Linked DNA regions of Mytilus edulis. The protein of the gene in region 3 purifies or fractionates together with the protein of the main gene of each other region. This does not show direct contact. Links are inferred from orthologs where the notes say so. Each region holds a gene or a part of one and is shown on either strand. Other genes may lie near its edges. The genes, in order: paired amphipathic helix protein Sin3a-like, max-binding protein MNT-like and protein max-like.

The links.
Region 1: the proteins of protein max-like (region 3) and paired amphipathic helix protein Sin3a-like purify together in Homo sapiens (affinity purification with mass spectrometry; 3 studies listed by BioGRID and IntAct, with this or other methods). This does not show direct contact. The link is inferred for Mytilus edulis from reciprocal best matches to the Homo sapiens genes MAX and SIN3A.
Region 2: the proteins of protein max-like (region 3) and max-binding protein MNT-like purify together in Homo sapiens (affinity purification with mass spectrometry; 7 studies listed by BioGRID and IntAct, with this or other methods). This does not show direct contact. The link is inferred for Mytilus edulis from reciprocal best matches to the Homo sapiens genes MAX and MNT.

Annotation. Positions count from the first base shown.
Region 1 is NC_092354.1:81,249,988-81,257,960, forward strand, and holds the start of paired amphipathic helix protein Sin3a-like, read right to left. Parts: upstream 3,456-7,973; 5' UTR 3,085-3,455; intron 698-3,084; 5' UTR 661-697; coding exon 637-660; intron 1-636. UniProt on the Homo sapiens protein: Acts as a transcriptional repressor. Corepressor for REST. Interacts with MXI1 to repress MYC responsive genes and antagonize MYC oncogenic activities. Also interacts with MXD1-MAX heterodimers to repress transcription by tethering SIN3A to DNA.
Region 2 is NC_092349.1:3,785,809-3,793,630, forward strand, and holds the start of max-binding protein MNT-like, read right to left. Parts: upstream 3,127-7,822; 5' UTR 2,912-3,126; coding exon 2,845-2,911; intron 2,597-2,844; coding exon 2,467-2,596; intron 816-2,466; coding exon 774-815; intron 1-773. Other genes in the region: transmembrane protein 248-like, read left to right, coding at 6,211-6,360, 6,915-7,081, 7,627-7,742. UniProt on the Homo sapiens protein: Binds DNA as a heterodimer with MAX and represses transcription. Binds to the canonical E box sequence 5'-CACGTG-3' and, with higher affinity, to 5'-CACGCG-3'.
Region 3 is NC_092346.1:5,090,915-5,098,915, reverse strand, and holds the start of protein max-like, read right to left. Parts: upstream 3,190-8,001; 5' UTR 3,087-3,189; coding exon 3,048-3,086; intron 2,910-3,047; coding exon 2,859-2,909; intron 1,432-2,858; coding exon 1,309-1,431; intron 1-1,308. UniProt on the Homo sapiens protein: Transcription regulator. Forms a sequence-specific DNA-binding protein complex with MYC or MAD which recognizes the core sequence 5'-CAC[GA]TG-3'. The MYC:MAX complex is a transcriptional activator, whereas the MAD:MAX complex is a repressor.

The DNA.
Region 1 (7,973 bases), on a different chromosome or scaffold from region 3:
ACAGGAAGTATTTACATGTGTACATGTATACTGTATTACTGTTTTAACAATGTGGATCAATGTTGTATCATGGCCACTGTTATGTTGTTAAACAGTCATGATAATCTTCATTTTAATCATTTGGACTTGCAACTTCATAAATCAGTCTGTCTTAAACAAATTTAAATCTTAATCATGAAATAGTGAGGAAATATTTTTATCTTTTTGTGGTTAAAAGTAAAGACTGATAGAAGCAGACGTGTCCAGAGAGATGATCAACCTTCTATAGAAATGCCTTCAAGGTTCTTATATAGTTAACAGGCTGACTAACTAGCTAAGGGTTAGTAAATATTTATCTTTTATCGGTTGTCATCTCAACAAATTGATTTCCTCGATTGAGTCGGTACGGCGAAAGTGAGAAAAGTAATTGAGTTGAGATTACCAAGGATAATCTGTTTATCCCTATTTCAATTTTTACTTATGACGAAGCTGTTTATTTCATTGAGAACGACATGTGCGCGCTTAGTTTCTACTGATAATTTTTCATATTGCACTTCTCTGCTGAGAAAGGAAATTATCAGTCAGTAAGGTCAAATGAAAATTTGGTAAAAAGTGATAATTATAAATATTATATATACATTGAATCTGATCACTAACCTGTTCGTCAACTCTTCGCTGCATTATTTGTACACCTGTATAGTTAGGATAGGATGTATACCTGTCAAACAAAACCATTTCATTAGTATATAATGTTCATTATTAAATTGACAAGCACATATGTTTTTGTACCAATAATATAAGTTATGCCAAAAAAAAATAATAAGGTAGATATAATAGATTAGCAATTGCAATTTCTTTTCAATTTCATTAACAAAATCAGGGAAATCACATATTTTTCCAAAGCAATCCCAATTACACTAAAATCAGTTAACTTGTGCATGGAACTTAATTTATTTCCAAAGGAAAATTCATTTGGTTTATATGAGAACAAAATTTTTTTACACTAAATTATCCAGTTGAAATTGATTTTTTTCTACTAAATTAATGTGGGTTAAATCAGAAAACTAGAATTCAGTGACTCTTAGATCACATTGCTTGTAGAAACTCTTTGTTCCTTACGTCGTAACTACAATCCCCTTCCCTTTCATGAATGTGACCTACCGAATTAGACTATTTACCGGATTTGTTATCACATAAGCAACATGACGGGTGCCACATGTGTAGGATCTACTTACCCTTCCGAAGCACCTGAGATCACCCCTAGTTTTTAATGGGGTTTGTGTTGTTTATTCTTTAGTTTTCTATGTTGTGTCATGTGTATATTGTTTGTCTGTTTTGTCTTTTTCGTTTTTAGCCATGGCGTTGTCAGTTTATTTTAGATTTATGAGTTTCACTGTCCCTTTGGTATCTTTCGTCCCTCTTTTACAAATAAATTTAAAATTTAAGGTCCTAAATTAGATCCCAATTGCAATGTCACCTATATTTTATGTTTCATATAACTTTTGTTTGTAGCATTATATTAAAATCTTAAAAGATTTTTTATCACATGGACCAAAAAATATATATCAAAGTTTAAAGGTTATTAAGGTGAATAACTCTGGAACGGAAATGTCAATACCATGAAAATTGAACTCGACATGTAGTTTATGATTGATGACACTATGTTATAATTGCCTTAAGATTTGGTCACACAGTAATATTATTATCATCTGAAATCCAAGGAAATACATTTATCAACATTTACAGTAAGGGACATAACTCTTGAATGGAACATGTTTAAAATATTCAATACTAATATAACTTGACCTGTATTTTATAGTATAAATTATTTCAATTTAAATATGAATATCATAGATGTAAATGAACGATAGGTGTCTCCCGGATTCATTTACTTTTGATGTTTACTTTATAAGCTGTAAAAAACATGTTTTGATTATGATCAAGATTGACAAATTCTGTAAAACAAACTGATGCCAGAAAATAAAATGGACAGAAAGTCGTAAAATTGAGAAAGACAAAAAGGTGAAATTAATTTAGTTTACAATTGTTTGAATCATATAATAGAAAGTTCTTAAAAAAACTTTTTATCAAACAAATTCGTTTTACAGTTTATGAAATTGTTCAAAAGCTTTGATAAATGAAAAACAGTCAATTTCAAATCTTGCAATCAATATTATTTCTCAATCTTTGCATAAGAAGATATTCAAGAGTTAATAAAAGTACAAGTGTTGGTCTATTGGTGGATATTTGCCTCATTAGCAATCTCACCAGATCTATTTATTTTTCTATAAATATAGCTGTTTTACTCATAATTGCAACGTGAACATCAAACACTATTTACAGTCTCTTTTGCTTGTTTATGAGAGTTGTCTCATTGACATTCCTACCACATCTTCTTAATTTTACAAGATACATGTATTTTTGGTTGCGTCTTCTTAACATTACTGCTGTTTTTATTTTATCAGGGTCTAGATGATACTCTTTTTTGCCATTTGTCCGCAATTAGTGCACATCACAAAATCCCGTTAAATTATACGTCATAATAGACAATATATGACGCCACAACGGAAAAGCGGGACAGATTTTTAAACAGCAAGGAGTATTCGTAAGACTTCTAACACAACAAAGCAAGAAGAAACAAAGGGACCAAATTATCAACATCAAAGTTGTGAGCACATGCTTACAGAAAAAGATGAAGAACCCCTCACAAAACCTTATGTGGAAACCTTAAGATAATATCAATATGATAAAGTATTGTGTTGTTAAACAGTAAATACTAGCTCAATTTGTTATTGACCGTCAATAAATTTTCAAACCACAGAAAGGGGGAGGGGGCCGAGACAATTTTTTTTGTAAAAAAAAAAATAAAAGTTTTTGTTTGTTTTAATTTTACAAATGTTATGTTATGTGCTTTGTTATATAGTGATTACGTTGAAGAATAAATACAGAACAAGCAACGCCTTTCCCGCGGATATTTTTAGCACACACTGTTTCATCATGGCCGACATTGGTTTTCAAACATCAGTTTATGTTTCCACCCAAATTTCAAAATCCTATATTTGTTTTGGTTGACCAGTAGTGTTTTCTAATGCAATGAAAGCTTACCTTTCCTAACGTATATAACACATAAATTGGAATTTCCTAAATCATTAACAAATTAACATTTTCCACAGCTGTGTATCACCGACGTACTTGTCGGCCGTATAAACAACTGCCTGCCTTCCCCTGTGTGTAATTTCAGTAGACTCGTCCTAACACATATGTAAAGGTGCGTGTCTCGGTAGTATTTTTATCGATACATGCCCTTGACATCTTAAAAAAAGTTAATGTATACAAAATTAGGGATTGTAATATAAGGTTCATTTACAATTGTAAACCATCTGTTACTATTTTATATTAAAGTGGTAAAACGACCGAAAGACGCGCGCCTGTTTAAATGATCGTGTTCCGAATGAAAACACACAAAACACCTGTGTGAGTCATGACCTAGATACATTTATTCTTCGCGGAGAGAAATCGTTTTGAAAATTTATTTTTTAACCATTTGTTAAAAATTTATATATTCTACTTTGAATAAAAAGAGCATTAGACGAATATTCATTGTAAATCCTCAAACATCAGTACGGGTAATACAAGAATATTTCAAAAAGGGTTCTGTGTTCATACATAGACGAGTCCATTTTTAACAACATACACAAGAAACGTGTACTAGAGTACTATCATCAGACACCTCTTTCGGTTTAGTTTACAACTTCATACAAAATTGACGTGAATTATTGTTAAAAAATACAGATTACCTAGACTCCCCTTAAAAAATCAGGATGCAAAACATTATTTTCCTTCGTCTTGTATTTTATGATTGGCAAACTGCCCGAAATTTGGAATTCCAAACATAAAATTATGCAAAAATAGAAGCCAATCAAAGTGATGTGTTAAAATTAGATATTCAAGGTTACTGGGTTTCCCCGTGAATTGATTTAAATTTATTTGACTATGCATGATAATTGATTTAGGAAAGGGATTAGGCGTAACGGGAACGACCACGGTTTATATATATTTATAAACAAAATATATCTGTTATTTTTTCCCAAAAAAGAAATGTTCTGAATCAAAGCTGAAATGATAACAGGCAAAATAAAGATGGGAACCAAACAGTACATAATTACTAGCTTTTACAGACCACCAAATAAAACAGACAGTAAATATGTGGAGAAAACAATCACAGAGATACAAAATCTGAGAAACAACAACAAAAGGAGCACATTCCTCCTTGGAGGTGAATTCAACCTACCTGATATCAGCTGGGAAAGAAATGAGATTAAAGGTAACCAACTGCCACAATCAATCAATCGAGCATTTTTACAGATGTCAGCTGACTTGTCAATCCAGCAAATAAACAACAACAACACAAGAGGAAACAACATACTGGACCTGATGTTTACAAGCCATCCAGGACACATAGAGAGATGTAAAACACTGCCACCTATAGGAAATAGCGACCACGACATATAGTATTAGTGGACATATCAGCAAATGTCAACAAACTGAAACCATCAAAGAGAAAAATATACCTATGGAAGAAAGCAGACTTGGAGAGTATAGGGAAACACCTTGACAGCCAATTTGATACTTTCAAAAAGACAAACTTTGATGACATTAACAACATGTGGACATCAATTAAACAAATTATAAAGGATTCCATGGAAAAACACGTACCAACAAAAACATCACTTGCTAGACAGAGCCATCCCTGGATGAATACCAACTAAGACGTCTAAGCAAACAGAAGCAAAGAGCTTACTCTAAAGCTAACCACACCAACTCAACAAAGGACTGGAAGCGGTATAAAAACATTAAAGCTGAACTTCAAAGAGAGTCTAGACGAGCGCATACAAAATTCATGCAAAACATAGTCAGTGATGATTTATACAAGAACCCTAAAAGATTTTGGTCATACAAAAAGAGTAGGAAACAGGAATCGTCAGGAATAACAACCCTAAAAAATAAAGATGGATACCTACATAGCGACACACCAACAAAAGCTGCTATACTAAACACTCAATTCCACTCAGTATACACCCAAGAAGACCTAAACAACATGCCAGATAAAGGGCCGAGTCCATATCCAACCATGAGACTAATAAACATCAGCCAGAATGGTGTCACTAAGCTACTTAGAGGACTAAGACCGTTCAAGGCAACTGGCCCGGATGACATACCAGCCTTCATCCTAAAGAATATGGCTGATCAACTTTCACCTTACCTGACCAGACTGTACCAACTGTCAATGGACCAGGGATCAGTACCAGAAGATTGGAGGACAGCCAACATAGTCCCAGTCTTTAAGAAAGGGGAAAAGCATACAGCTGCAAACTACCGTCCAGTTTCTTTGACATCCATCTCATGTAAGCTACTGGAACACATAGTACACAGCTCTATAATGGACCACTTTGACCAAAACAACATACTCTGCGATGAACAACATGGGTTTAGAACCAAACGGTCATGCGAGTCTCAGCTGGTAATAACTATACATGAAATAGCTAAAAACATAGAGGACGGCGACCAGACAGACATCATCCTGTTAGACTTCGCCAAGGCCTTTGATAAGGTACCACACGCCAGACTTCTTCGTAAAATGGATTATTACGGGGTAAGAGGTCCCCAGCTGGAATGGATTAAACAGTTTCTGTCTAACAGAACTCAGTCTGTGATCCTTGAAAACCATAAGTCGGACCCTCTTGACGTGGTATCTGAAGTACCCCAGGGCACTGTGATGGGCCCCTTACTCTTTCTGGCCTACATCAATGACCTCCCTGAAGCAACAACATCAAGCGCTAGACTGTTTGCTGATGACTGTCTACTCTTCCGCCGCATTAGGAATACAGCAGATGCAGACTTGCTGCAAAAAGACCTAACCTCGCTGGAAAAATGGGAAAAGGAGTGGCAAATGTGTTTCCACCCGGAGATATGCACAGTCATCCGTGTCTCAGGACGACGTCATCAACACCAGACGTCCTACACACTCCATGGACACACATTAGAGACAATAGACAGCGGGAAATACCTGGGGCTCACTATCAACAAAGACCTCACCTGGACAAACCATATCAACCAGACCATAGGGAAAGCCTCAAAGACACTTGGCTTCTTACGGAGAAATCTTGGTAGGTGTACTCCAGCAACAAAAGCCACAGCCTACTCTACGCTCGTAAGACCAACCCTGGAATATGCCTCCCCAGTATGGGATCCTCACCAAATCACCACCATACGCGACATAGAGCAGGTACAAAGACGAGCAGCTCGCTTTGTTTATAGTTGCTACCAGGACAACTCTCCTGGATGTGTAACTAAGCTACTGGACCAACTTCAATGGGAATCACTGCAACACAGACGATGGAAACAGAGTCTTGTGTTGTGTTACAAGACTCAACATCAGATGATTGCCATTGATCCAGCCAAATACTACACGACAGGAGACAGTAGGACCAGGGGCAACCACAAACTTAGACAAACTAGAGTGAAGAGGGACGTATACTACCACTCATTCTTCCCACCAACAACTAGAGAATGGAATAAACTCCCCGAATCTGTAGTGGAGTCCGGATCCCTAGAGGACTTCAGGGCCAGAGTGAATACCATCCCCTGGACCCAGCCACATCTGAAATAGACAGCAGGATAACCAGTGTACAAAGATGTAATTAATATCATATTTTTATTGTAAATACTGTCCAGATTATTTCCTGGACTTTTACTTTTGGCCAGAGGAGTGGCCTCCTGTCTGTTTGAGATGCGCCCGAGTCAATTACACTTTACTACAGAGTTCGACTCGTAACGGGAAGAAGAAGAAGAAGAAACCTTTTCAAAGCAATAACCAAGGATTCGTATTACCAGAGGCGGATTTAGGGGGGGGGGGGCAGGGGCCCGGCCCCCTTTTTGGGATACATTTTGGTTGCTTATAAAGGGAATCAATGAAGCGTGACTGGAGCGGGCCCCCTCTTAGGCCAGTCATTGGGCCCCCACTTATAACATGTATAAAAATTTCTGGATCCGCCACTGATCACAGGCACTTGTCTCATTAATTCCCCCTCCTAAATATACCTTTCAAAATATATTAAGGTATATACTCAGGAAGTGAAAAGTAAGATAGATTGACTAAAGATTTATGCTTTGTAAATAGTGTCTTGGTCATATTTTTGCGATTAAAAGTTTCTATCCATCTAATATATTAGTTTCCAAGATAATCTCCGAAAATGCTACAAAAAATAATAAAATGGAAAATTGTCATTAAAGGACAAGTCGACTGACGATCTTGGACTTAAATTTGTAAATATTGTCTTGCTGATCATATATGTTTGTATTTAAAGTTTATATCTATCTTATTCTACCATGTAAAATAGTTTCCAAGGATTTGTATATAGTGACACATTTTTGACATGCTGTTTCAGTCAGTGGAGAATAGTTTTGGTCGTGCAGTTTGTTAAAATTAAATTGACCCGATAGTTTCAGACAGCATTGCAGTAGTAAATAAATGTTGCTCATCTGGTAGATAGAAGATAAGACTGGACTTTACAGGTAGTAGCTCTACTAGCTGTTATACTAAACTTCAGTAGTTGAACTATGTGGTATGGGCTTTGCTCATTGTTGAAGGCCGTACAGTGACCTATAGTTGTTAATTTTTGTGTCATTTTGGTCTCTTGTGGAGAGCTGTCTTATTGGCAATCATACCACATCTTCTTTTTTATGTATTGAGTAGTTAAACTAGATGTGATTCAATTGGTAGAGTAAACAATTTTAACTGTTTTTTTTTTGTTTTTTTTTATACTTTTTTAACTTAAGTTGCAACACTGTCCAAGGTTAGAGGAGGGTTGGTGCCTTCAAACGAATTTAACCTCGATACTTTCTGTATGTATGTGTCTGTCCCAAGTCATGCAGGAGCCTTCAATTCAGTGATTGTAGTTTGTTGCTTTGTAACACAACTGATTTAAATTCGG
Region 2 (7,822 bases), on a different chromosome or scaffold from region 3:
CGAGATATTTTTCTTTCAACTTATCTTTACAACTATTGTTGCTGCTTCTCCACCTATAGTTCATCAGCAACTAAGAGTTAAAGCAAATATAACAGAATATATTGTTTCTAGATAGATGTAAGAAGGAAAAAGTGCCAACTCTCCATTCAATTCTGTTCTTTTACTTTTTGTGTTTTTTTCTGTGCATGTTCTAACTTTAAGTGTCATGGATAGATAGCCCATATCTTTGCTTCTCTATTTTGCATTGTGTACACGTTTCATAACATTTAGATGAGGCAAACAAAAGTAAGAGAAAGAAAACAAAATTTCAGATGTTTTCCATTTGTAAATGGGTGCACAGCTCTAGAACAGTAAAAGTGACGTCACCAAAATTCAAACTTTATTGGTGTTTTGCGGTAATTAGCATTGTGTACAAATTTTGAAACATTTACTTGTTTAACTAAAGTTAGCAGTTAGAGAACAGAAACATGTTATGCCCCCTCAGCACCTGCTGTCTTGGGAAGGGTTTGAACAACCAAAATATTTTAAAGTGTGGCCAAAATTATTTCACAGAAGTTACACAGATCATGTAGGTAGAAGATGAAGATCAGTGTCAAATTGATACTAAGAATATATGTAGCAGTTATAAACCAAGAAGAGATTCTGACATCAACCTTCGAATTCTTATGTTTAAAACAGCATTTGGTCAAGAAATTGGAGCAAAAAAATTCAACAGTATCCATGAACATGATGAACTTTGATAATTAAGTGTTTATATAGCATTACAAGTTTACCTGTTTTTCTCCAATTTGTTGTGAACTTCTCTTGTTCCAGCCCTAAAATAATAAAATGATGAGTTAAAATATATATGCAACAGGAGTTTGAAAGGAGTGCTAATTATTAGAAACCAGATATCATAAATGTGTTTTCCATTTGTCAATGCTTTTGTGTGCATTCAACTCATGTTTAAAAATATTTATAATTCTACTAATGACATCATACATTGTATGTCATGTACATGGATGTAACATTTGTATCATGTTTTTCATAACGGATTTAAACAAACATAACATGGTATAGTATGCTCACATGAAGGTTCATTCTAAATTTTAGAAAGCCTTGATTTGCAGTTCCAGAGAAAAATGTGACGAAATTTTACACAATTTTGTACATACAAGTGTTCTTTAATCAATGAATTGGAAAGTTATGATGTCACACAGTATTAAGCATGCTCACATACAAAATGTACAATATGCATTAGTTTAATGAAATTTCAAGAAAAAGTTCCTGGGAAAAGTTTAACCAAAAATACATGGGACAGAAGGACATAACCACTCAGTAATATACAAAAAACAGACAGAAAGTCACAAATAATAGTGTTCATAATTGTTTTAAGATCTTGAAATAAGTTCTTTTTTATTCAGTTGCTGAAATTATTCACAAGTATTGATCATGTTGATGGATAGTCCAAATAATTATGACATCTGGATTTTTGTTTTGTTTCAAAAAGATTTCCCACAATTATCAATGAAACGACACTTCTGGTGAATATAAAATATTAAAAGCGGGACATTTTGAAAGACATGAATTTCCAGATAATGTAAATCGAACGTTCCGGAAATTCGGGTCCATTGAATCTTACCGATTTTAATATTTAATATTCACCGGAAGTGACGTTTCATTGATTATTGTGGGAAATCTTTTTGAAACAAAATACAATATTTGCCGGACTCAAATGGAATCGTATCTTATTTTACCATTTCTTCTGGAAATATTTTACATCAATAAAGCACAAAAAAGGTAGGACTTTGTAACTACGTAAAAATTTTAAACCTGCAAGGCAAATTTTATGTCAAAATTAGGTCTCAAAGTTCCCCCTCAAACTCCAGACGTAAAAAATGGCTTCAGCGTTATGACTTCGTAGGAAAGCGTCCCAGAAAAGAATTTAAATAGCCTTGCCAGACGTCATAATTATTTGGACTAGTTGATGGATGAAGATTTTCGCAAATTGTATAAATCATGCAAAGGATACATTTTTAGAAACCATGAAGCCATTTAATTACAAATGTGCTAAGCCATTATTACTGTTTTTTTTAACAATATTTGTTCATAATTGATTTTTTTAATTAAATTTTGTTTTCAAAGGTGTTGATATAAAAAAGTTCAAGAAAAACAATAATTATTCTTAAATGATAAGCTCTTCTTCAAATTGTTGGAAGAAAAACATCAAAAACTGATTTTTTTTTTTTTTTTTATTTTCTGAAAAAGTTCAAGGATTGGACATGTAGTCTAGAGAATAATTTGTAAAAGTTCTCTCATTTTTCATTTATTATTATTATATGAAAAATTTATTGCACTGAATAAACGTCTATTATTTTGTTTGTAAACAATGACACGCGGCAAATAGCACGTGTGTTCAAGGTCGATCAGATCGACAATATTATTAGTGTGCAAATACACATGTCAAAATATGTCACGTGAACAGACCCTCCGGCTCGCCTTTTTTCTCTTTCATCTCCATCTGCATACTTTCCAGAGTTGCTGGATTCAGGAGAGTCGTCAGAATCATTCCCAACTCGTGATGAATATCCGTGTGGGTCCTCTGATGTACTATCACCTTCAAAAAATAAAAAAAAATCCAAGCGTCGAGTGATCATGCTCATAAATATATGCAAATTAGGTAGCGACCAGGAACCGTCAAAAATTCAAGATGGATATCTTCCTTATAACACAAAAATTGAAGCGTAGATTATCTATTGCATGAATGAATATTGTGCATACTGTAATAAAATTGTAAGTTCAAACGACAAAATGTAGTTTTCGTGTTCATATAAGGCAATTTCTGCAGCCATGTGCTTTGCTTACCACGTGTTTTAGGCTTGTTACGCCATTCTAGATATTCCGCAGCTTCCAACAAAGTTTCCAAACTCATCGCCAGAACCGAAGCCCTCTTCTATAGATGTCATTAATTGTTTATCATCCGAAATACTCATATATCCATGAGGACACACTATGTGTCCTCAAATATTTGATTGAATTCTTACAAATATTAAAAGAACATGGCGGGCGGCGGTACCAAAACACTTGCTGCCGTGCAAAATATTACAACACCACGTGGATTTTGATTGGCATCTGTCATCCTTGTCCAATGAAATTTAAGCATTTTGACGTCATACACAAACTTCAGAATCACATGTTTTGTTTTGGCTGTTCCATTTATTTAGTTCAACAAGTAGATTCACCTATTCTAGACTTATCTATAATTTTTTATTGCCGTATTACTTTTGAAGATATCCCTTTAATGTATTTTTATTGATATTATAGCATTATGTTGAAAATTAATGCCAAGTTTTTACAAACTTCGATGGCATTTCCACGTTTACTTTAGAAGTGGGCGGTTCCCCTTGGTGATTATAGAAGCCATGTGGAATAGAAATCACGTGATATATTACCTTTCAAAATGGGTTCCGGAAGTTGTGACGTTTGATGCTCCAGATTTGACAACATTTTGACAAGTTTTTGCTGCTGAAACTGGCGATAGGATGTCGTGAATTTACAGTTGATCATAAACTGTAATATATTTGGTAAATTTTTAATGAGTTTTTATTTACTCTTGTCTTTGCAGATTATTCTGTCAGTGGAAGAACTACTCATCACATGGAGTCATGCATGCTAAATAATTTAACTTTGAAGCACTATAATCTCTGATTTGGCATGTCAGAACTACGGAACAAGAAGTTAGCAAATAAAAATTCGAAATTTAAGCTGCAAAATATATTGCACACGTACAATTGAAAAGCCTTGATAAACAGGAACATATATATTAACATAGATATACTGTTCCCAGGGTATACTTTCTAAAAGTAAAAAGCTTATACAAATCTTTTTTTACCTCAGGATTTTGTGAATTAATAAAGAAAATTTTTTAAAAATCATGCCTGGCTAAGAACATTTACTGGTAGGAGTGATGCTAATGAAACTTGTACTAATCACAGGCTAGATGTTTGCATATATTTTATTACTATTGACAGATATTCTCAATTCTAGTGCCTGTTGTCAGGTTGTACCATGTCTGATTAAATTATTCATAATTGTTCCTTTGACTCTGTTTTAAAGATGAAATAAATGCGAAAAGTGTGCAATACTTCAGATGATCAGTTCCAATGTTATAGTCTCTTTTACTGTGTCTGATTTTAATCTACTCACTAAAGTAATGTGATAACGTCAGAAATATAAACATGGAGATATAAGAAGATGTGGTAAGAGTGCCAATGAGTTAACTCTCTGATTATCCAAGTCACAATTTATAAAAATAAACCATTACATATTTCACCAACCGTTGGTAAAAAGGGTTCAAACTAGAAGAGTAAAACTATATGGTTATCTTTTTAAATCATTTCACTTGCTTATTTCACCCTTAGGAAAACAAGCAAAATTATTCATGATATTACTTATTAAATCTCCACATTCAAATAAGGATTCCAGATATTGTTTTATGAATTGTATTGAAACCGAACTGTTGATTAGAAGAAATTGACTAATATGACCATGGTTACATTATAAAAAAAAATACAATCAAAAACATTTAAAAAGAACAACTGTGTAAATCAGCATCCTTTAAACATGGTAAAGTAAATTACCTAGTCAAAACACATTTAATGTGTAACCTCCAACATACTCAATATTTATTTCAGCACCCATGGTGCCCAAACATCAGTGAAGCATTAAAAGTTTATGTCATCTTAGGACTTCACCAACCCTTTTATCAAATGTTAAATTTATGCAATCAAACAGCTTCCAGAATGTTAGTTAATTAAAATGTTTATTATAACTGTAGAAATAATACACATAATCCATTTAATGAAGGTGTGAAAATTAAATCACATGATTAAATCAACTGATTAATCTGTTTATTACACAATGTTATATCGAGGAATTTGTTATTCTAAGATTAATTACATATAATTAAATCAATTTGTTAATCTTTTTATTACTACAAGAAATTGTTGCTAATTCAGTATATATAATTGACAAACAAAACACAAGCTATGTACCTTGCAATTTAATTTATAAAAAAAATCCTTAGAAATACACATTTAAAAATTTCTTTCCCCACACATATTTATAGTTTCATTATATATTTTTTTTTGGCAAATTTAGAAAAAGCTAAATACAAGTATAAAGAACAGTTAATATATATGTTCCTGCAGATATGTAGCACTGACAGATATCAAATTTGAAGATCTTATTATTGCCATACTAGAGAGTGACATTATTCACATTAGGCCATGGAAAAGTAATTGATGATTTCCCCTAACCCAACCGGGTCATTTTTTTACCGCCGGGTCATTAAATTTTTCTTTAGAAAAAAATATATAATAATATAATAATAAAAAAAAAATTTTTTTTTTTTTGCAGAGACAACTAAAAGTGTTGGAAATATGCAAGATTATAGTTCCGTTATTATAACAAAACATATAGATATAAAATTACACATGGTTACATAAAAAAAAAAAAAAAAAAAGCCTGCCTTTAAAATTTTCCCATGTTAGGGGAAACCAACAATTAATTTTCCATGGCCTTAAATAGTGATACAAACACAAATGCAGGTAAAACACATTTCCTGCTTGTAAAAATTGGTAGATCATTGTGTTAATTGATAAAAAGTGTCATAATTCAGGGAAACATATAGCCTTTAATTCTTATCAAGTTATATTTCCCCATCAAGCATTTCAAGGATGATAAACAAGAGTATTTGAAGGATATTTAGCTCTTCAGGTGCTGAAGATGTGTATGATTTTAAACTGTAACACAAACAAGATTGACTGTCTTATATTTAAGGTAATTAATGACAACTGGTTACTGGCATATTATCCAAATGTTTAGAATGAAAAGCATGATAAGTACTGGTAGCCAGTATTGTAAATTGTACAAAGGTAAATGCCAGTGGGTAGATTTATTTTCCAAAAGAATTATATTGTTGTGATTATAGGTGGAGTTATTTCCCTTTGTCCGTATGTTGGAGGGAAACTGGTAATTTTCTTATTTGACTTTCGCAAATTAGACATCAATATATGATCCATACTGAATCATTTTGATGAAATGCACATTAACAAGGTGATAAACATTTACGTGAGTGACATCGTAGAGTCTGAAACCAAGATTTTCTTGATTTTTTCACTGAATATTAATTAATTATCCCCATTATTTTCAGGAGATTTGGCTGACAAAATGACATTATGGGAGAATCTGAAAGGATTTACCAGCAGCCGTCCTCCACTGGTGATGTTCATGGTCTGTCTCGGAGCATTTGCCATAGCTTTGATTTCACTGTCTTATTATTTTAAATCTAATGACCTCTACAATCCAGATTTAACTGAGGTAAGTACATTGATCATGAACAAGTGGACAGTTTTTAGGGAGGATCACAAACATGGAGTACAATAAATGATACTACAAATATAAATATATGGTTTCTGTTCAATAGTTGTCTCATCGGCAATAACACTCCATCTCTTCCATTTATTAGTCCCCTACTGACTTTGTTCCAAAAATTTTTAAGGTTTGTTGTAAAGCATAAAAAAAGGACGTTAAATTAATTCTAACATGTCTATGATTTCAATTCAAATGGATTATTTTTTTTGTTGTTGTCATGAAATTTAAAGAATCACTTGAGCATGTTGAGTATAAACTGTTATTGAACCATGAAAATTAAATTATGAATATATTATGGCATTTTAGAAAACAAAAGTACAAGGCAGGGCTTTAAGACAGACAGGACAGGCCTGCCTTTCAATTTAGCTGCATTATAGCTAGAACATGCATATGTTAATCATGCTATTTCAAACAATTATTTTCTTTGAAATATAAAGCTATACTGTACTACATACTTGAGCTGTTAACATTGTTGATTTTGATGATTTATTATTTTTCAGGAATGGCAGGCATTTTTAGAGAACTTTGCTGAAGTTGACTTTTGTATTACTAATAATGATTCTGACATACAGATAGGAGATTTTGAACCTCCATTGAGATTACACCATATATACTCAAAGTTAAGACCAACGTCACATTTCTCTAGACCCACAAATGATGAAGTTGTGTAAGTTAACATGGTTAAGATTTATGCTTATCCTGAGATAAACTGATAAAATGTGAAGCCTGCATTAAAAGTTAGGTCTGTCTGGAAACCCTTAAAATATTTAAAATTTTACTCGTGTTACGTATTTCTTTCTTTGAAACAAAGATGAATTATGCACAATTTTTTTGAAAAGTGCAAATTTAACAAAGACTAATGGGGGAAAAATCAATGGTGGTATTACACCTTATAAAGTCACCCAAGGTTAGATGAAACAAAACAACAGTTAGGAATGCACTGAGCAACTGACAAATTCCTTGACTTATCTTTGTTACAACTCAACCCAGTTCGACACAATGAGTTTGTATTTACTGTATAATCATCAAGTATAAAAAAGAAGATGTGGTATGATTGCCCATGAGACAACACTCCACAACAGACCAAATGACACAGAAGGGTTATTGAAATTACAAGAAATATACATATACACTTAAACATTGTTTTTCATTAATACACTTTATTCAATTTAAGACATTTATATATAGATAATAATTAATTTATGGTTACAGGAACACATCTATATCAATGTGGGTGGAGATAACTCCTACAAGAGAATTAATCCACATGCCAAACAATATAACATTCCTTTACGCATCACTCAATGGTAGTATGGTTGGATTGAGAGGTAAGTTACACAGAGATTGAAAATAACATTGAAAGATTGGTTTGTAACACATGTTTCAACAGGGGCCTCAGTGGCCGAGT
Region 3 (8,001 bases):
GGGTCAAGACAATGCTTACTACACTTCATGCAAAGCTGACTATGGGGCCCTAATTACTTGACCAAAAATATGGAGACAGCTACCCACCAGAAAGCCAACAACTCTATCAATTCAACACCTTCTTTTACAAACATGTTCAGTAGTGGTACTAAAGTTGACAATCTGGCTAAAGCAGAGGTACTTTTTGCCAACTATGTATGATGGCTGATCACTTTATCTTTGAACTATATATGATGGCGGATCACTTTAACTTTGAACTATATATGATGAATAAATATTCGACCCCCCCCCCCCTTTATCTTCTATTTTACTAAGTAAAAATGGCTATGCAGGTGCTTGAACATGTTGAAGGTATGAAATCATTGGGGTTTTTTTTAACAAAAAAGGAAGATATGCAGTTTAAACACACACGAAAAAACCATTGCGTACGTCGATATAAAATCTCCAGTTATGAGGCTAAAACTCCAGCTGAAAATTTCCAAATCTCCAGTTGTGGCTTGACAACTCTGTCACATGTATGCACGAATGCCCCACTCGCACTATCATTTTCTATGTTCAGTGGACCGTGAAATTGGGGTAAACTCTCTAATTTGGCATTAAAATTAAAAAGATCATATCATAGGGAACATGTATACTAAGTTTGAAGTCGATTGGACTTCAACTTCATCAAAAACTACCTTGACCAAAAACTTTAACCTGAAGCGAGACAGACGGACGAACGGACGCACAGACCAGAAAACATAATGCCCCTCTACTATCGTAGGTGGGGCATAAAAACCAAAACAACACAACATTAGACATAGTTTGTCAGGACTCATATGATACACAAGTCACATGGTATGCGGTAAAGTTATAAAAATAATATTTTGTGCTCAAAAGACCCCTCTTATAAATTGTCTAGTTGTCTTAGCAATTGATTTTTTTTAACTTTTAATGTGTTATTAGATATCTTAGTTGGCATAAGTGCCATAAGTTGGGAAAGTTGCACTTGGGTTGAATGTCTTGAATAACAGCAGCCACAGGAGAGCTCTTTATATTTCTACCCCTGTATTACAAAAAAAAAATAATGAACAAGAATTTTAAGAAAAACTATAGAAAATCACTAAAAGATTAAACAAAATATTTGAATAGAAAACATAAGTTATAATTCATAATCTAAAATATTGTAAGGGAAATTCCAGGAAAAAAATTATTTTGAACATCATGATTTCTTCATAAATTGATTTTTTTTGTGTGTATTTCTATGACAATTCAACCTTTCAATAACTTTTTTCCAGGAATAACCTTATGATGAACTTGGATATTTACTTTGACTGATGATACCTTTTCTCCTTGCAGAGATGGTATTGAATCTCGTAGACTGGAAAAGCTGTCTTTTATATGATCTCGCCTCTTTCTTTCTAATGCATTATGATGAGCACGCTTTTCAGCCTAAAACAAAACAGATGAATAATTTCTACTGCTTTCATCAGGATAACAAAATGTATGTAAGAATGTTTGCAAGTGGTTTTGTTGTGTCTTATTAAATTATTGAATGTTTTTGATTGACAGCTCTTTGATTATATAGTTTCTGTTCAGGTCTGTATTCACCATTTTAATAGTCTGAGGATGATTTTGATCTCATCTATATCGTATAAACACCGGTTTATTGTTGAATGACCATAGATCGGTCTCTGATTTACCTCGTGGCTTTATGAAACAATCAGAAAACTTAAATTTTAAAGTCCAATGATTTAACATGTATTGCAAAATTTTACAGGAGCTAATTTGATTTTAAGTAATAACTAACAAATTAGCGTACACACAAGTCAAGTGTAAATAGTAGTTCCCTTGATGTAAAAATTAATGGACTAAAAAACTAACAGCAAGGGACTTGGATGTCAATCAATGGCAAATATCTTTATTTTGCACTAAAATATACACAAAAATAACTGGTCTTCAGTTGATTGTTGGTCTCATTAGCAATTATGCCACTTCAATATTTATCAAATAATAGGAGTTTTGTAATCAGCATTATCAGTGTGACTTTTAATACACCATAGGCTGATCCAGGCCCCCTATTTTGAGAGAAAAATTTGGTTGATTATATAGCAAATATATCAGGAATCACTGATGCATGACTGTTTTAAACAGACTCCCTCTCATTGCATTGTTTTTCAAATTAACTCTACCTACCTACCTGGATTCTACCCGGATTATTGCGGCGATCATTAAGTTAAAAACTTCTTTTGTCGCCTCATAATTTACTTTATATTAAATTACTTATTTTAACTATGAGCTGTGCGCATAAATAGAATGAATAAATTTTCTGAACTGGTATACATGTTGTACGATGGTTTCCACAATATTTTAAATACTTGTCCCTTACATTTATATTATAAATGTTATCTAATGTCATGTAGGATTAAACTTCTTCTGATTCCAATGTTCATCATTAATATGATTTTTTTTAAATATTGACAGATTCTGCACAAACTGTTACTGTTGAATGACTATTCCATTGATCAATGATTCTTTGTGAATGGATCATAATCTATTAAAATTTTAAAATGTTCACTTCCTCAACTGTTTTCTCTGCTGATATCCTTCGACACTGGAGACAAAAAGAAGGAAGTTGGCCAAGTGAGACAGAATAAGGTGCATTTGCTAAAGGTCCAGTGACAAATATTTCAAACAACAGATGCCAGATGCATGCTTTGGTAGGAAACTTTGAAACCATTCTTATATTGACGGATTTCATTTTAAAAGATCTAGAGGGATTCACTGTTTTAATTTTAATTATAAACAGGATTGTACTTGATCATATAAAAAAAAGATAAGTATATTCTATCACGTATATCGTTGTTAATTAATTATACCTGTGTCATAAACTGTGTATTGGCATTTGAGGATAATTCGTCATCGTCCTCCTACAAAATCAAAACGAGACAACATTGTAATGTATACATAGAGGAAATTTTAAGGTCAAATAAAATGTAATCAAGGCGTCATTATCACGACTTAAAAATATGGAAATTATAAAAATGGTGGACATAAAGTTCAATTACATCGCTTTCTATATCAACGTCCCTGTCTTCATCGCTCATGATGGTATCCAGCACCCATTCAACGATGAAACCCGTTCAAACAACCAGGTTACGACCTAAAATGGCGAACCAAACAACGCCACGAGGGATACCCACGTGCAACTTCCGGCGTGATGTAAACAATGTTTTGGATTAAAACCCGCGAAATTTGAATACTTTCGATTTAATTAGACTAGCTTTCAACGCTATCATTTTTTTTTAAATTTAACATAATAAAGTAGAAATAGGCGTAGAAATGTCACGGAATAGAAGTTCCAAAAAGAAAAAATATTCTGGATTTTTATTATTTACACAGGAATAAATATTACAGTATGTATGCCGGTTCCTAAGTTAACGGGAATAAATTGTATAGAATATTTGTTACAACAGGAATAAATATCATGACAATGTTTATAACAAAGTTTCCGTTGGAAGTTCTGTAAGGGGGAACAAATATACGTTGACAGAAATATGGTAAAAATCTTTTTCTGCTTTATAAGAAAAAATGAGTTTTCCTTAGAGTTCAGTATTTTTGAAATTTTACTTTTTAAAGACGTTCTATACTTAGACTGCTTAAACCGAGGATTTGTATAGATTGAACACTATTTTTTGCATCAAATTAGGGATCAGAATTTTATTATGACCCCACCCACCCCTAAAACCGTCTACTTTTGACCTTCCGTAGATGTTTGGTTAGAAAACTATCCTCAGTGAGTGTTTTGTCTCTTTAAATTTCATATCAGTGATGCTCCAAGAAAACAATCGGAGGGCTAAAACAAAGGTCATCTATGCCTGAAGGTAGCAAAACTTAAAAGTGTTTTATGATTTAAGTACTGTTTTATTTAAGGATTTATACAAGTTCAAATTTTTATTGCAATTTAAACTTTACTGAAACATTAACTTTGTGACATACAAAATAAGTAAACAATTTAACTATAATTCACATATATATATATACACAATCATTCATTTACAGTAAATATTCCAGTGTCCCCTGTCATCAGTTCTAATGACCTTTTGATGTAGGACCCCAATTTATATACTTGTGATGGTGTTGATGGATTGAGTATAAAAATTAATTTTTCTTCATCAGATAAATCTTGAACAGAAAAATTAAAATCCAAATGGTTAAAAAAGTTGTTTCTTAGTTCCATATTTAATTTACAATCTAATATAACATGTTTTTCGTTATCTAATGTTTTACATTTAAAAGGCATATTCTCTGCTCTCTTATTATGTATCAAATTTTCAAAGTAGTTTTTAGAGCTTGTTTTTATATAAACTTTAAATAATTAACTTATATGTTTTTTTTTTCTGAACTAGTATTTTGTTGAATTTGTGTTATATCTAAATAAAGTTCACTTAATTTTTTTTTTACATAGGTAAACCAGGAGTATACTCCTTCTGAGTCTAAGTTTTTACTAAGCGTGTAATTAAGCTTCTTTCAAAAGAGGATTTTAACTTACAGCATTCAAATCTCTTTAAATATGATAAAGTTTGTGTTTTAATATTAAATTCTATAGGAAGTCTCCCCAATTCAGCTCTAGTTGCAAGATAAGAAGCATTCTTTCTAGTTCCTAGTAAGAATTTACAAAATTGCAAGTGTAAATTTTCAATTGGGCTTTTTTCCAGAATTTAAAGCTCTATTTTTTGCTCTAAAAAGAGATATATGGGTGCCTAAATGTGTTACTTCAGAGTTGTATATCAATCATAATTGGTTTTATGAGGGAATCAAACAGGTGGCATGCCACTTTGACTGGTAAATTATTCAAAGACTTTGTGTAAGCTTTCAACCCAAATAAAGCTTTTTGGGCTTTTTTTGACAAGTTCTTAAGTACTATGAGACATGTTGCCATTGCATTTAGGTAGCACAATACAAAGATTTTTTTTCACTCCCAATCAGACAACTTTAAACTGATGTAATTCATGTCATCCTTCTTTACATTTTATAAATGAGGTACCAAAAGAAAGAAGAAAGATTAATCTTTCAAATTGTGATAATTTCATTATGACATAATTATTACATAATTAATTATTATGTAATTAGTTGCTATGTTGTGATGTCCACACTTGAATGAATTTAGCGTCTTTGTTCTTCATAGCATCCCAAAATATTTTATTGATTCTTGTACAACACAGCTTGACCTCCAAAACCGTGTCTCAGATTTCCAAAAACATCAATAGAACAAATTTTATACCCAATTGAATTTAGTGGTCTCTTATGAATTGATGTTGCAAACTTCATTGAAGATTTATGAGAGAATGAAATACAATAGGAAAAATCTGAGACACAGTTTTGGAGGTCAAACTGTGTTGTGCAAGAATGTATAAAATATTTTGGGATGATATGAATAACAAAGAAGCTAAATTCATTCAAGTATGGACATCACAATATGGCAACTAATTACATAAAAATTAATTATGTAATAATTATGTCATAATGAAATTATCACAATTTGAAAGATTAATCCTTCTACTTTCTTTTGGTACTTCATTTATAATTTTAAAGAAAGAGGAGTGGAACTGCATCAGTTTAAAGATGTCTGATTGGGGATGAAACATCTTTGTACTGTGCTACCTTAATAAGCCTAAAAATGAGTATTCTGATACATTATCAATGTTACTGTTTTTAAAATTTAAAAATGTTTTTTTTCTAGTTTAGAGCATGTCCTATTAAATATCATAGATTTTGTCTTTTTAATATTCAATTCTATCTGCCATTTATCACAGTATAAAGCTAAATTATTGAGACTATTCTGTAGCCTGTTTTAGTTTCTGAAAAAAATAAAAATTCATCTGCAAAAAGCAGGCAACTTAGTTTTTAGTCTATAATTTTTAGAGGATAACACAAGTCATTTTTAAAGACCTCTGTGATGTCATTAATGAATATATTAAATAAAGTAGGACTCAGTGAATAATATTGTTTTACCCCTCTTGTAATATTAAACATATCAGTTACCATGTTTTTATATTTTATTGAAGACCCAGTGTCATCATATAGATGTTTTAAATTCCCCCACCTTAGTAGCAATATACCAACTTCACCTGCATATGCGATATATATTTCACAACTTATTCGATATTCAAGAGCTTGCAGCTCCTACACAGACTTTGTAAAACGTCATCAGTGTCTGAGTCGAAAGTTGATGACACAAAGTGTACTATGTCAAAGAACGTCTCGTCCTTTTTCTAAAAAAAAAATCATCGGAAGGTACCAAGACCTCAGTTGTTGATAAATATTCCGTATCAACTTCACAAATCACCAATAATACACGATGGTCTTGATGTATAGATTCTGCGTACTGATGTTGTTAATCATCTTAACAACGTGTTATATTGTTCTTTCATTTGGCTTTGTTCTATTATTAATATTCCTTTTACTGTTGGATTGTTTTATGTGATATCCATTTAACATCCCGTCAATGTGTTTGTATATTCTTTCATTTTTTGCTGGTGTGTTTTGTTAATTGGACTTTTTGTGTTTCTTTGGTTCTTATAACGTGACTCTGTACTTTAAAAGATCCCGTCAGTATGATATTGTTCTACATTTTTGTCATTATGATATATTTCTATTATGAATTAGAAAATACATTGAACCACAAACGTCAAAATTAACCAATCGCGTAGTGGAACGAACTATTTGTGGATTCTTATAGATTCTATAACTTTTGGACTATTTCAAATCTCGATCTATTTCTGAAATTAATTCTTACATACTTTTGATTTTTTAACCCTGTATGCTAAGATTGCCCTTGTGAGATTTAAAATTGTTTGTATATACATTGAACGACAAATATATGTGACAAATATATGTGACGTATAAAATTTTCTGACGTCAGACACGCGAATCAATGAATGTGTTTGTAGATAGATGTATTAGTGTTCTGTTAAATTGTTCCTTTTAAAATTGTTACACGATGATGACTTCTGTACCCATATTTTTACTATTTTATTTATTATACATGTCTGTTTAGTTCACGCATCATTTTAAATATAACGGAATTTGATGAGACTGTCATCATAGTGAGAGGTTTAGCGCTTTAAAACCAGGTTTAATCCACCATTTTCTACATTTGAAAATGCCTGTACCAAATCAGGAATATGACAGTTCTTGTCCATTCGTTTTTGATGTGTTTTGTTATTTGATTTTGCCATGTGATTATGGACTTTCCGATTAGATTTTCCTCTGAGTTCAGTATTTTTGTGATTTTACTTTTTATAATGTTAAAAAGTTTCTTTCCTACCCCCATATTATAAAGTTTGTACAAAAGAGCATCTCTCCATACAGAGTCAAATGCATTTATAAAGTAATTTAGTTTTAACTATATATCACCTGATCACATGTATTCGAAAATTAACCCTTGATTTAATGAACAGTATTCTACAGAAGAAACATATTTGGAAATCCTTCATAAGTTCACTTGGTATGGAACCTTTTTATCACATTTAATGTAAAACAGATATATTCAAAATTATAACAGGGTATAAGTGTTTCCCGTTTTAATACATCAATGATAGCTATTTATAAGATTTATCAATGACATAGCACGTGTACTGATTAATGTAAAAAAAAATGTCCTTCATTCTTTTGTATGTAAATTCTTACAGGAATAGAAACAAAGATTTAGTTTGGAAGTCGATACCTCTATTTTAGCATTGCATAAGGTCGGGGTTTTTCCATGACCATTACGTCGTTACACTGGATCGATATATGAGAAGTCTCTGGATCGACAATGACTTCAATTTTTTTTCTGCCTTTCCACTGCAATAAATTAAGTAAGTTCTGAATACACATTCGCTTGCAGTAAATTTAGATCTGGTCAGATTTATATGTTTCAGTTTGAAGAAAGCTTTTGTATATCTAAATGACCAAAGAATATCAGAGAAAAGATATTATTTCAAAATAATTGATACGTATGCATGGTAAAAAAACAGA